Linked DNA regions of Elephas maximus indicus. The protein of the gene in region 2 interacts with the protein of the main gene of each other region in a pairwise test. Links are inferred from orthologs where the notes say so. Each region holds a gene or a part of one and is shown on either strand. Other genes may lie near its edges.

Region 1 (7,769 bases), on a different chromosome or scaffold from region 2:
GTCCATTCCAACTCATAGCGACCCTACTGGACAGAGAACTGCCCCACAGGGTTTCCAAGGAGCAGCTGGTGGATTCGAATTCCGGACCTTTTGGTTAGCAGCTGAGCTCTTAACCACTGCGCCAACAAACCAATATTGATAAGTTATTATTAACTCAAGTCCATACTTTATTCAGATTTCCTCAAACTTTCACTTCATATTCTTTTTGTCCTAGGATCCTATTCAGGATCCACATCAAATTTAGTTTCACGTCTCCTTAGGCTCCTCTTGGCTGTGAGTTTCTCAGACTTTCCTTGTTTTTGATGACCTTGACAGTTTTGAGGAGCCCCAGTGTTGCAGTGATTGTACTGCTCAGCTGCTAACCAAAAAGGTCAGTGTTTCGAATCTACCTGCTACTTCACAGAAGAAAGCTGTGACAGTCAGCTTCTGTAAAGATTTACATCCTTGGAAACCCTATGGGGCAGTTCTACTTCGTCCTACAGGGTTGCTATGAGTCGGAATTGACTGGAAGGCAACAGTAATTGTGACAAATGGGTTTGGTTTTTGGCTTGACAAATTTTGAGGACCACCATGAATTCATTTTTACAGCTCCCTTTCCAAGAAACCTCCTCACTTTTGCCTACAGTTTACCAATCCTTCTATGAAGACTATAAACTCTTTGCCCATAATTGCAGTTCTGCATTTTGTAACTTGCACCCTGGGACCCTGGAGTGGGGAGGTCTCCAAAAACCTGTAAAGGAGTCTTTGAGTTCAAAATTATTTTCATAATAATACTAAGACATTATCTGCCTTTTCCACTCTTATTCTCTCAAGAGAATAGAATGGAGTTTTCCAGAGACTTCATACCATGTGATGACATCATCGCTCTGATGATGAATAGAATGTATGTTTATATATTCTTGTGTTTTCTAAAAATTTCTAAGGTAGTAGGTTTAGGATACAAATGTGTACATTTTTGGAGATTAACTCAGTTTGTTCTCAGTCCTTCTACCATGCTCTCACTACCCATTTTAAATTATACCTGCTATAATCTACATATCTGTGTAGATGGATTTTCTTCATACTGCAACCAGACAAGAAACAGGTGTCTCCTATTAAACCCACTGCTGTCAAGTCATTCTGACTCATAGCAACCCTACAGGACAGAGCAGGACTACCCCAGGGGGTTTCCAAGGAGCAGCTGGTGGATTTGAACTGTCAACCTTTTGGTTAGCAGCCGTAGCTCTTAACAACTTCACCACCAGGGTTTCGTCTTCTATTAAGCCAGAGGTTAAGGAGATTTGCAAAAATGTAAAACAATACTACTCTCTTCACTGATTTTTGTTTGTTTTGGAAAATAAACTTTTTTCCATAAAAATGTTTATGTTAGCATATAATGACTTTAATATGGCAAATATATTTTAAATTTCTCAGTTTTAATTTTTAACAATAAATATCAATAGATTAATAGACGTAACCTTCATACACAAAAGTGCTCCTCAATAATTTTTAAGCATATAGAGGTTCCAAGCCCAAAATATTTGTGCATCACTGACCTATAACATTTTTTCCATTTTTTCAAAATCCTTCTCAAATCTCCAGCTCCTCCATGAAGGCTTCTCTAGTCACTGCTGTCTTCCATGAGGTCAAAGAATAAAGGATTAAGTGGTACTTGTGGTCTCTAACTGTTTTGCCTGTCAAAATGTTTTTTGACATCAATATACCCGGGGTCATTTTTGACTGAATGACTAAAATGGAAATTTAAGGCTCTGATGGTGTGAATTAGATTGGGATATTACTGATAATATTTTATTAGTAAATTAGTTTTGTAAGTGAAATTTGCTGAGGTTAGAATGTATTCTGAGCAGAGCTGGTCTCATGTGGCATCTTTCCCAGCTTTCATAGATGTTTAAAGGAATTTAACGTGAAGACTATGTTTTTCCTAGTATCAGTAATGTCTACTGATCTTGACTTTTTAAATAGGATCTTAGAAGAAAATACACGCAAAATCACAGGTAAACAAATTTGCCAGTGGGTTACCTTATATTCTCCCTACAGTTTTAAGACAAGTTTAATAAAATTAATTTTCTTTCACTTATTCGCTAATCATTTTCCCATTTTCTGTTAAGATGTAGGCTGAAGATCCAACAAGATTAACAGGTGACCCTTTAAAAGGAACAAAGGTTGTGTTAACATATAAAGAACAATTATGAAGCTAAAAAAATATAATTCCTTCACAAACTTAAGTAACACTTTATTAAAGTGCCCTTGCTCTCACACAAACTCAGTAAAGCGGCAGAGGAGTCTTTTCATCCTTCTAAAAAGTATCGTGAAAAAAGAGGAGCCTGAAATCAATTGCGAAACAAACGTTTTTAAGTTTGCCATTACGGGAGAAAGTTTAAACATTAAATCACAGGCAGGTAATGTGAATTCAGAACCGTTCTGAGTTATTAGCGACAGGAGAGGGAGGGTGTGCCTGGTTTTATCTTTCACTACTTCAAAAACAAGAAAATATCGAACTAGGATAACCATACTTGTCAACTTAAGGCAACAACTTCCTAAACCAACTTTCTGTGTACCGCTGGGTTTGACTCACTTGGCCCGTGAAAAACAAGGTCAGGCCTGTTTTCCCTCTAACATAAACATCTGTAAGCGCGTCCTACTCCATATGTTTTACAGAGATTCAGAAAGCAAGGTGTAGAACCGAAAGAGATCGAAAACGTCCCGAGTGGCCTTTGGAGCGGTAGAGGCCCTGCCCCACTCTGCCCAGCCGCCCGCAGCAGCCCTGCGGCCGGCTCGCCACTTTCCGTGATGGCCAGGGTCCCGCCCTGGAACCTTCCCAGACGCTCAAGGAGCCGCCTTCGCGCCCGCTGGCCCCTCCAGGCCTTCAGAGAAAGAAGCAGCCCGGGTGACAGGTAGGTCAGGCCCGGCCGCCACTCACCGCTGCCGGCCGGGGTTCAGGAGACGCCACTCCAACTAAATCCATGTGGGGGAAGAAGCCAGCGACAAGAACAGGGTAGAGTCGGGGCAGGACCGGGAAGCGGGCTCCGCCGAAGGGGAGACAGGCAAAGGGTAAGGGGGGAAAGGCAGCTGGTGCCGGAGCGGAGGTGACAGATGGCGCCGACGGCGGCCGCGTCCGGAACTAACCTCTTCTCTTCCGCCCTCACGGTTGGGGCAATCACTTCCGATTGGCCGCCCGGCCCTCGCTAAGTCACCTTTCCCCGCCCCCGGGCGGGCTGCACTTCCGGCCGCTGGCCGTTGGGATTCCGAGTGCAAGGTCCAGGTGGCCAGGCTTGGAGTCGTGGTCGCTGGTGCAGGGCAGGGCAGGGGCCGGGTGTGACGTCCCTTGTCCAAGGACCTTCCTTATCTCCGCACCGCCTTCCTCATTCTTCCTCCCCAACAGCCCTTAGCACTGGATCTAGTCAAACTAGGCTAGACTGTGTGGATTATAAAGAAACGAGGCTTTGTTCATTCATTCTTTCCCCAGTGAAATCTAAACTGAGAAGGTAACAGACGGAAAATAGCAAGTTCAGAGAAAGGAAAGACACTGAAAAAGACAGTCGGTTTTTGTTGCTATTGCAGTTGTTTGGGGGCGGGGCGGTGAGCGTGAAAATTTGTAAAACAACATTGAGCAAAAATCAGTCTGTATAGTAAAAGTTTTGGTTCAGTATTTTGTAGGGAGATTCTTAAAAAGTGACTGTGTAAAAATAACTAAGCCTTACATTTCACTTACTGTGTTTCAGGCATTGTTCAAATTAACTCGTTTAATCCTGAGAATAACCCTAAGGAACAAGTTCTATCATTATCGTCATTTTACTCATGATGAAACTGAAGCACAGAGAGGTAAAGTAACTTGCCCAAGGTCATCCAGCTAATAAATGACAAAGCTAGTAAGTGTCGAACGAACACACGCATTCCGGCTCCAAGCACTGGTGAGACAGGCAGCCTCAGAATCCAACCCTTCTGAGAGACACCTGCTCTGGCTTATCCTCTTACATGGAGCAAAATGGGCTCCACATTCTTCTGAAATCGACCTTGACAAGATAACCATAGATGGCCTCAACCTACCTCTGGGTGGAGACTTAATATCATAATAAAGAAAAATCAACCTCTTCCTCCAGCGTGGAGAATGGAACCCTTGACTAAAGAAAATGCATAGTCATCCCCAAGCCCTGAGTGCCTGCATAAATGTCAATCCTGAATATTCATGATAAATTTATATTTCCTTGTCTGCTCTCTGATAAAGCCCACCTCCCCAACTTGCCTCTGAGCAGTATTGGAGGTAACAACCCCAATTGCTCCTTTCCTTGTACAATGAAATAAAGGCATCTTTCTAATCTCCCACCTCGGCCTCTTGTTTATTGGCTGTAACAAGCCACACCAAGCAAAACCTGGGGTTTTCACCTGTCAACACTGGCTCTGTAGTGCCTGTATGCAAACCATCCAGACTATTAAAACAAAAAGTCATATTAAGCCAATAATAGAAATTGATTGAAGTTTATTTAATATACGATTTGCAAATCAGGGTAACATTTTGACTAGAGAATCAAAAATGTTCCGAAGATGAGAGAACCTCGAAACACTCTTATATCAAATCTTAACAATATCCCTGTAGAAAAAAAGGGTCAGAACAGAACTGATAAACAAATTTTTGGTCAGTAAGGGTTTTCATACAGCATTGTTTTCAAGAATGTGTAGAAGCCCCCAACAGAGGCACTTGACCCCAGTAAAATGGCTAGTCTGGGTCTGAACTCCATATCAATGCTTGCTAACTTCTCTTCATTCAGTGACCTTTGTACAGACTTAAAAAAGCCTGTAACTAAGAAACATTTTCCTTCTTTGTGGTTAAGCCAGGGATAAGGGAAGAGTATTCCTGCAAGAGTCCTGATGTCCTTAAGCTGATCAGACGTGTCCAGAGCTGACTACCCACAAGAAATATATTGTTCCCCTACCTATTTTTTAAACCAAATGTCCTTGGGAAGAAATACTTTATAATCATCTTGCGGCCATCTATACACCCCTATATTTACTACTGCAATTATCCTGTGTAACCAACCACCTCAGGTTCCCAGCTTCGGGATATCCTGCCTCTGACTACCTTACCTCAGCAAGCACCAATCATAGATTTTGCACCATTATTTCCTGATTATACCACATATATTTACCCTTTTTCCCCTCCCCTTCTTGGGAGTATTTATTTCACTTTGTGAGATCATAGGTTTCCCCAGTTTGTACTGTTTTCAAATCTTCCATAAATCTCCTTGCTTTCACTTCAATAGAGTATGTGTTCGTTATTTTTGGACAAGAACAATTAAAATAATTACTGATTTACCCTAAACATAGCTCCCATTCTGACTCTTGGAGTCTGTTTCCAGAAACTGATTGAATTCTTCAAAAGAGCACAATGCCTACAACAAAACTATCTTATTAGTTTACCTAGACCATTGTTTGACTCATAAGGCAACCCCCAGGAACCAGTTTCTCCAAGGCCCAAGCTTCAAAAGGACACCCAAGGGCAAATGGCCTAGGTGGGTCACCCCAACTGCATGGACCCAAAAATCTGGATTCCAGGAAAGTTAAAACAGTTTCACAAGACGTTCTAGAAATGCACACTGAATAACACCGTTTTCCCTAAATGGCAGTCCTGAGCCAGGATCCCTAACTGTCCATACTTGAGATTCCTGGGATAATGACCTTGGTTTCCATTAGCACACGGTCCTTATCCTCTTTCCATCCCAGGTCAGAACATGTTCTGAATCCTCTAAATAATCCAAACTAAAATCAGGCAAAACTATAAACTATATATGGGATAAAGACCTGTGCTTGACAAATGTCCATACTGCAGATATGTGTGGAAATCGTGTTCCCCCTTAGTATTCAAATGATAAATTATTGAGATACATGTGACCCTAATACTTTGCAACATGTTTTCTCCTATTCAAAATGGGCGATTGAGAGCTAGACATAACTAACACCATAATGATGCTCTAAGTAATTTCTAAACATTTTTTATTGCACCAGCAGCGCTGGTCTCTTCCAAAGGGGTGAGGAGCTCTCTCCGCTCTTGGGGCCTTGGTCTCTCTCCTCTTCTTTGTTCTCTTGAGAAACAGCCTTCTGCCTGTAAGACAGCAGCAAGGAAGGCTGCCTGGGGCTTTTGATCTGCAACTTTCTTTCTTGTACCTCATCTAGTCAGAGTGGACTTGGCCAGTTCCACTAGCCGAGAGATTCTTATGCAAGTTTTTCCAGCCTGTTACAAACATACAGATTAGAGTCCACATGTCCAACATGCATATCTTTAGTTTAATGAAGAGTTTTTTGTAGTTGTTTTGTGCTGTATATGACCATCTGTGGGCTATGTGCTTAAAAACATTAAGTAATCCTTGCCAAAATAATATATAAGCTCTAAATTGCTCTTCAGGACTCCATGGAGACTGCCGGGTCCCCGATCACGTATACATCTCCTGAATAAACTTTCTCACTCTTTCTGACTTGGAGCACATTTCATTGGCTCAACTGCTCTGGGGCACGGAACCCAATGGGGTAACATACGTATGTAGTTGAAGAAAAATGGGTAGAACCAGAAATTAAATGGACCTCATGACTTTAGATAAAAGGAGATAAGACGAGAGGATGACCTAGACAAGTTATTGGAACCTTCTAATAAATTAGCCAAGAGTTTCAAAAGAAAAAATAAAAAAGGAAGCGAGTAGGTCAGAAGGAAAGGCTTAGTTACAGTGTGTGACAAGAATGTGCGACTGAGGGATCAGAAGTTGAAAGTAGAAGGATCTGGATATTCTTTTTAGATCATTTATTCAATGAATTTTTACTGAGTGTTTTCTAAAATGACTAGCATTGGGGTGACAAATCTGAATAAAAACAGGTACCTGTCCTCGTGGACCTTGAAGTCGTAAACATGCAAGTAGTAATTAAGTGCTAAAGATACTATCATAGAAGCATGTGCAGGACCCAGTAGAATGTAAGGTAGGGAGACATCAGCTCTACCAAATTTTCGGGAAAGGCTCATTAGAGTAGGAGACACTTGAGCTGAGTCTTGCAAAGTGATCAGGAATCAGACAGGTTGTAAGGGAAGTGGGGGCTTCCACCAGAGGGCGGCTGTATACGTACAGCATGTATTGGAAAAGGGCAAGTGGTTTGGCATGGCCAGACCTAGGGTTCAACAGGGGAGCAAAATACAAGATTGGGTTGCAGAATGTAGGCAAGCCCAGGACCAAGGACTCCAGAGTTTAGACCATAAGGAGTCATTAAACGAGGACAATCGTATCTTCAGATTTGCTTATTAGAAAGAGAATTCTGACAGCTGTGAAGGGTAGACTGGAGAGTTGTGAGGCTGGAGACTGGAAAACCTCTCTGTTCACTGAGGATGAGAGTCACCTGGACATCTGTTGTTCATGGGCACATCTTTAAATGTGTTAATACCTTCAGTCTAATTTCAGGTCTCAGAAACTTTTTTTTTTTTCTTTAAGGCGACTTCGAATATTCCAATGTTGCTTTCATTTCTCTTCCAAAATTTTGTTTTTGTGTTTTGGTTTCTGGTGTTGGACAGTGCTGGGTGTGGGCAGGGTGGCATGGGAGGTGAGGCATCTAAGTGGAGGTCCTGGAGTCTAAGATGACTTCTGCTTTTTTGACTTGGTTGACTGGATGAATGGTGGTGCCTGAAGCCTTGATTGGAGAGAGGATAATAAAGTTAATTTTGGACATGCTACATTTTTCTATATAGCACTTATCAAAATTTGTAAATACACATTTATTTGCCCTTTTTTTCTTTGTTG
Region 2 (7,773 bases):
AGAAGCTTCCGGCGAAAATCCATCCTACGATTTTCCTCCAAACTGGTATCCAGACCTTGACCTTGAGATGTCATAGCCAGCTTGGGAAAGACAGAACTGGAGCAAGGAGTTCTAGAGTGAGGACACACGGCACCCCAACTCCCTAGCCCCTCCTCCAATCCTGGCTACCTCTGTTCCTGGCATTAGACTTTACTGGAAGTGCTAAAAAAGAAAAAAAGAAATTCCTGCAAGGTTACTTAAAATACCAACAGCCTAGAAAATTCCACCCCAACACAATTGGTATGTTACTCTTCAGGAGGTGGGGAGGGAGTTTTTATCAGAATTCAATTTACCCTGATTTCTCCCAAATAAAATGTCCCCTGTGGTACTAGTCAAGAAGGAAGAGGACAGAGTCTGATATCGCTGAGGCCTGGTAGTCCGGCTGGAGCTCACAGGCCCAAATTCATTTCTGCCTAATAGCAGGAATAATGTTTGGATTTATGTTTTAAATTTTAGAAATAAGGCAACATGGAGGTTTATTCTTCTGAAGCATCAACCAACCCGAAGATAATGAGGGACCCTGAGGGCTATTCGTTACATCTTTAACTTTAAATGGCTAACCATGAGCAGGTCTTTATGTCACAGACACAGAAGCCATAATTGCAGACCCCAAAAGGAAAGGGTAGTTTTAGACAAAGTTGCTCAGATCAGTGCAGGAAGTTACAAATTACCCATCAGTGTTTCCACCTGACCCGTTAATAAACTATGGTCTTCCCTAAAAAAAAAAAAAAATTCATTAAAAAAAAATTTTTTTTATTTTTGTTATTGTGGAGAATATACACAGCAAAACATGCAATTTCTACATGTGCCAATTCAATAGTGCCAATCCAACAGTTTCTACATGTACAATTGTAAAATGGTGGAGTCACACCTTCTCTTCTAACTTGGGGGGAGGGACGGGAAGAATCAAGACCAGCACCATCAGCCCAAAGCTTGATTCCTGTGAGGTACAGGTGGGACATACTTCACCTTCCAACCCTTGTTATCAACTCTGACACCAGCCGTCCCTCCCACTCCCACGACACTCTTTTCTTCTTGCCTGCATTTGATAATTTGTTGCAAAGGCCACACAGAACTCACAGACCATACTCACAATTATGGACTTTATCAGGGAAGTAGCAAGTTACAATTGAAGATCGGTAAATTTTTTTTTTTAATAATATTTTATTGTGTATTAGGTGAAAGTTTACACAGCAAATTCGGTTCCCCTTTAATAAGTTTTATGCAAATTATTCCATGTCATTGGTTACAATTTTTAGAATGTGTCGGCATTCTCATTATCTCCATTTTGTTTGTACTGCTACCATCTATCTAGCTTCCCTTTCCCTCCTTGCCTTCTCGTCTTTGCTTTTGGGTATCTACACTAAATTTTGTTCTAATTAGAGGAACAATGCATCGATAAAACTTTTCACTGTAATGTTATTCATTCCATAAGGCCTTGAGGTATATATTCACTGTGCATGACTTGGCTGTTTTTAGAAACAGGAAATTACTTTCGAAAGGAAGAACATGGCAGAAACAAAACATCGATAGCAAGAATAGCTAGGTGGTTAAAAAAAAAAACCTAGGTGGTTTAACTACAAACAAAAACCGAACCAAACCCATTCCGGTGAAGTTGACTCTGACTCACAGCAACCCTGTAGGACAGAGTAAAACTACCCCATAGGGTTTCCAAGGCTGTAAATCTTTACAGAAGCAGGCTGCCACATCTTTCTCCCCTGGAGCAGCTGATGAGTTCAAACCGCCCACCTTTCAGCAGCTGAGCACTTAACCACTGTACCACCAGGGCTCCTCCTTGGTATAACTGTCCAAAAACCAAACCAAACCCACTGCCATCCAGTCGATTCCAACTCATAGTGACCCTATAGGACAGAGTACAGCTGTTCCACAGGGTTTCCAAGAATGGCCGGTGGATTCAAGCCGCCGACATTTTGGTTAGCAGCTGATCTCTTAACCACTGCACCACCAGGGCTCCAGTATAAATATTAAAAAAAAAATAAAATAAAAAATAAAAAAAAATTTTTTTTAACATAAATTTTCTTCTTGGCTTCCACTCAAATTTTGTGCAATGAACAGTTATTACTTTTGTTGTGGGGGGGGAGCTATTTTTTGTGGGATTATCATGGGTTCTTCCCTTCAAGTATCCCTGAGGTCAAATGATTGGTTTCTTGCAGACATTTTCCTATTCTAATAAGTAGTACATTGTATTTTCCTGAAGATTCTGACCCTTAGCTTTACTGAGTTGGCCAAACTTTGTGGACTAGCATATTCCTGACAATAAAAAGCTGTGTTGGAGCCCCCCTGTTTTTTTTCTTTTTTTACTTTTACTTTCTTTTTCCCTGGCACGGCAGATAAAACCAGGCAGAAACAATGCCATTGCTGGCAACTAGCTTTTGCAAGTTTCTATGACGTGAAGCAAAGGAAAAGGCTGGGGTGTGAGACCCAAGCGAGGAAAAGATATTACATACCTTTAGATCAAGTCTCACCGATCCTCTGGAGGTTGATAGCACTCAGGGAAATTGGAATTCAGGTCCTCCATGTGTTTCCAGTTTCCAGGAAGCTCCCATTTGCGCGGGAAGAGCACTCAAAACTTGTTGGCTGAGCAAGTGAAAACTGGATCCTCTGGCTTTTGTAACTTGATATTAATTTCCTGCTGATGTCATCATCTCCTGTCTGCCATTTCTCCTCCCCTTTCCTTTTTTTTTTTTTCCCAGCGTTAAGATAACCCTGACAAACAGCAGCTCCTAAAGGCAAATTCACAAGTTTCTTTCCCATGTAGAGCTCAGGATTTTCCCAGGTAAAGCAAAAATCCGTTGCCCTGGAGTCAATTCCAATGTATAGCAACCCTATAAAACAGAGTAGAACCACCCCATAGAGTCTTCTAGACTGCAATCTTTAGAGAAGCAGATTGCCACATCTTTCTCCCATAGAGCAGGTGGTGGTTTCCAACTGCCAATCTTTCAGTTAGCAGCTAGGCACTTAACTGCTGTGCCACCAGGTCTCCTTAGGTAAAGCAAAAGGCTTCCAGAAATGAACTCTTGGTAGCCACTAAGTGCTGCAGCCTTTCCTGTGAGTTCCAGCTCCCTCCTTCCTCAAACTCACTTAACCTTTAAAGTAAAACCCAAAAAGCTAATGAAATGGTAGTCATCTTAATCCTTTTTCAAGGATTAAGGATTCAAACCCAAAGTTCACGTGTAGATAAGCAAATAAAAACAATTTTTAAACAAAAAAGGGGGGTTGGTCTATAAGCCTATTTGGAGGTATTGCAAAAGGCTCAAATAATCAATTAATAGTAAACAAAACTGAAGCAGTCTGCCCTTACTGTGCATTCAGTTCAGCAGGAAAGACAGACTTTGAAGAAATTATTTCTAATAATAATTATATCACACATACTATATGCTGGGGACAAGTATTTAAAATATTTTCCCATTTAATAATCCCAACAACCCTATAAAGGTTTAATATCACTATGACCCCTGCTTTAAAATGTGGAAACTGAAGCACAGAGATGTTAGGTAATTTGCCCAAAGTCACACAGCTACCTAGTGGCACAGCCAAGATTTGAAGCAGGAAGTTTGACTTCTAAGTCCGTGCTCTTAGTCACTATACTGTAATTAAGCTAATTCAAATGTGCAGAGCTCCAGGAAGAAGTACAGAATCTTAGAAAGATGTTTTATATCTGAAAAAAGCAAGATTTATCATGCTTTTGTTAACAAACATGCTAAAGTGCATTTCTATATCCTAGGCATCCTCCCCCCACACATCTGTCAGTTTGTCATACTGTAGGGTCTTGTGTTGCTGTGTTGTGGGAAGCAATGCCACCGTTATTCAAATACAAGCAGGGTCACCCATGGTGAAGAGGTTTCAGCAGGGCTTCCAAACTAAGACTAGAAAGAAGATTCTGTCAGCCTACATATAAAAAGAATTAGCCAGTGAAAACCTTGTGAATTGCAGCAGAACAATGTCTGCTATAGTGGCAGAAGATGAGCCCCTTAGGTTGGAAGGCACTCAAAAGTCGACTGGGAAAGAGCCACCTCCTCAAGTAGAGTCGGCCTTAATGTTGTGGTTGGAATCAAGCTTTTGGAACCTTCATTTGCTGATGTGGCATGATTCAAAATGAGAAGAAATGGCTGCAAACACCCATTTAATAATCAGAACGTGGAATGCATGAAGTATGAATCTAGGAAAACTGAAAGTTGTCAAAAATGAAATGGAACACATAAACATTAATATCCTAGCCATTAGTAAGCTGCAATGGGCTGGTATTGGTCATTTTGAATTGAAAAATCATATGGTCTACTATGCCAGGGATGACAACTTGAAGAGGAATGGTGTTGCATTCATCATCAAAAAGAACGTTTCAAGATCTATTCTGAAGTACAATGCTGTTAGTGATAGGATAATATCCACACACCTATAAGGAAGACCAGTTAATATGACTATTATTCAAATTTATACACCAACTACTAAGGCCAAAGATGAAGAAATTGAAGATTTTTACGAACTTCTGGAGTCTGAAATTGATCGAATATGTAATCGGTATGCATTGATAACGACTGGGGACTGAAATACAAAAGTTGGAAACAAAGAAGAAGGATCAGTAATTGGAAAATACGGCCTTGGTGATAGAAATGATGCCAGAAATCGCATGACAGAATTTTGCAAGACCAACAACTTCTTCATTGCAAAATATCTTTTTTCACCAACATAAATGGTGACTACACATGTGGACATCGCCATATAGAATACACAGGAATAAAATCAACTACAGCTGTGGACAAAGTAGAAAAGCTCAATATCATCAGTCAGAACAAGGCCAGGGACAGACTTCAGAACAGACCATCAATTGCTCATATGCAAGTTCAAGTTGAAGTTGAAGAAAATTAGAACAAGTCCACAAAAGCCAAAGTATGACCTTGAGTACATCCCACCTGAATTTAAAGACCATCTCAAGAACAGATTTGATGCATTGAACACTAATGATCAAAGACCAAACGAGTTGTGGACTGACATCAAGGACATCATACATGAAGAAATCAAGAGGTCATTAAAAAGACAGGAAAGAAAGAAAAAAACAAAATAGATGTCAGGAGAGACTCCGAAACTTGCTCTTGAAAGTCGAGCAGCTAAAACAAATGGAAGAAATGATGAACTAAAAGAGCTGAAAAGAAGATTTCAAAGGGTGGCTCAAGAAGACAAAGTAAAGCATTATAATGACATGTGCAAAGATCCGAAGTTAGAACACCAAAAAGGAAGAACACCCTCCGCATTTCTTAAGCTGAAAGAACCGAAGAAAAAATTCAAGTCTCAAATTGTAATATTGAAGGATTCTACGGGGAAAATATTAAATGATGCAGGAAGCATCAAAAGAAGATGGAAGGAATACACAGAATCACTATATAGGGATGAATTGGTTGACATTCAACCATTTTAGGAGGTAGCATATTATCAGGAACTGATGGTACAGAAGGAAGAGATAGAAGCTGCACTGAAGGCACTGGTGAAAAACAAGGCTCCAAGCATTGACAGAATACCAAATGAGATGTTTCAACAAATCGATGCAGGGCTGAAGGTGCTCATTTGTCTATGCCTAGAAATTTGGAAGACGGCTACCTGGCCAACCAACTGGAAGACATCCATATTCATGCCTATTCCAAAAAAAGGTGATCCAACCGAATGTGGAAATTATAGAACAATATCATTAATATGGCATACAAGTAAAATTTTGCTAAAGATCATTCAAAAGTGGCTGCAGCAGTATATCGACAGGGAACTGCCAGAAATTCACACCGGATTCAGAAGAAGACGTGGAACCAGGGATATCATTGCTGATATTAGATGGATCCTGGCTGAAAGCAGAGAATACCAGAAATATGTTTACCTGTGTCTTATTGACTACGCAAAGGCATTTTGGACATCAAAGACAATTCTGGTGAGGACTCAGAAGGAAGTGAGAAGGCCTATAACAATGGGGATGGCACAGATGGTGAGAAGCAGCAGCAGAACCAGGAAATTAGCGGGAGTGGTGAGGGAGCTGATCCATAGAGCAAGAGAAATGAGTACCTTTACACAGGAGGCTTCCTGGCTGAGTGGGGTGCCTGCAGATACTTGGAGGAGTTGGCTTGCTAACCCAAGGAGCAAGAGAACTGACTTCTGGGTGAGGTTTACTGGTGAAAGGGGGGTGCCTCAGGCACTTATCAGTAGAGCTAAAGAGCTTTGGAACACTTGCCAGAGCAGGGCAGAATCTGGGCTGGCCTTAGGGGCCCAAGGGGCCAAGAGGCCAAGAAACCAGGAAGCAGAAGATGGAGTGACAAAAAGCATAGGAAGCAGAGCTCTTGTGAGACCTCTGGGGTCTCAAAGGGTTGAGTCATGCCCCTTGGGATTTCAAAGGGTGGGGCCAGGTTTCAAAGAGTCAGATCTTTACCAACTTGGTTGTAGAGTGTGGGGCTGCCTTTTGCACAGCCCAGAGCTGAGGGCGTGGGGCTGCCATGCTCAAGGGGCAGAAGAACAGGGCCTGCTGGGGGGCCAAGGGTGTGGAGTCACCACTCAGATGGACAAGGAGAATGGGGCCAACCAAATGCAAGGGAGCAGAGTTGCTGTTCCAGTGGGCCCAGAAGGCAGAGCTGAAGCCCAGGGCTGAGGGGCTTCCACCCAGGATCCAGAGATTGTGGCCAATACCCAGAGTCTGGAGAGCAGGGCCATTGCCTAAATGGCCTCAGAGAACAGAGGATTATTGAGAGCTAATGTAATGTGTTCTGCTGACTTGCTCCGTGCCTGTTACCCCTTCTTTCCCTCCAATTTCTCCCATTTGTAATGGAAATGTCTACCTTGTGCCTGTTCCACCATTGTACTTTGGAAGCAGATAACTTGTATTCTACATTGCACAGATGAAGATGAATTTTTTCCCAGGAGACTTTGGACTTGGAGTTGATTTAAGATTTTGCTATGATGTGATGGGGTGAATGTGCTTTACATGTGGTAAGGACATGAATTTTGGGGGACCAAAGAGTAGAATGTCATGGATTGGATTGTGTCCCCCAAAAATGTGTGTGAACTTGGCTAGGCCATGATTCTCAGTATTGTTTGGTTGTCTGTTTTGTGATCTGATGTGATCATCCTATATGTTGTAAATCCTGACCTCTATGATGTTAATGAGGAAAGATTAGAGGCAGTTATGTTAATGAGGCAGGACACAATCTACTGGATTTGGCTGTGTTTTGGGTCAATCTCTTTTGGGATATAAAAAAGAGAAGCAAGCAGAGAGGAGAGGGACCTCATACCACCAAGAAAGGAGTGCCAGAAGTGGAGCATGTCCTTTGTACCTGGAGTCCCTGCACTGAGAAACTCCTAGACCAGGGGAGAATAGATGACAATACCTTCCCCCAGAACCGAAAAGAGAGAGAGAAAGACCTCCCCAGGAGCTGGTGCCCTGAATTTGGATTTCCAGCCTCCTAGACTGTGAGAGAATAAATTTCTGTTTATTAAAGCCATCAGCTTGTAGTATTTCTGTTATAGCAGCACTAGATAACTAAGACATTATATATAATGTTAAGTATATATACATAACTGAACAGTCTTCTGTTCAGTTATGTATATATACTTATGTTTATGTTTATATCTCATTCCTTAGGCCATCTAAGGAGGGCAATTTGCTAACACTGTCACTTCACATCTATTTATAAAGTACATTAACTCTTTCGAGTTGTATTCAATTGTATTAAATACTCATCAAGC

What was found. The genes of interacting proteins can lie anywhere in the genome.
Region 1: the proteins of CASP10 (region 2) and RIOK3 interact in binary tests that used the Homo sapiens proteins (3 or more experiments, as listed by UniProt). The link is inferred for Elephas maximus indicus from reciprocal best matches to the Homo sapiens genes CASP10 and RIOK3.

The regions. Positions count from the first base shown.
Region 1 is NC_064829.1:29,626,207-29,633,975, reverse strand, and holds the start of RIOK3 (serine/threonine-protein kinase RIO3), read right to left. Parts: upstream 3,128-7,769; 5' UTR 2,966-3,127; coding exon 2,921-2,965; intron 1-2,920.
Region 2 is NC_064824.1:99,904,386-99,912,158, reverse strand, and holds the start of CASP10 (caspase-10), read right to left. Parts: upstream 3,076-7,773; 5' UTR 2,508-3,075; intron 202-2,507; 5' UTR 75-201; coding exon 1-74. UniProt on the Homo sapiens protein: Involved in the activation cascade of caspases responsible for apoptosis execution. Recruited to both Fas- and TNFR-1 receptors in a FADD dependent manner. May participate in the granzyme B apoptotic pathways.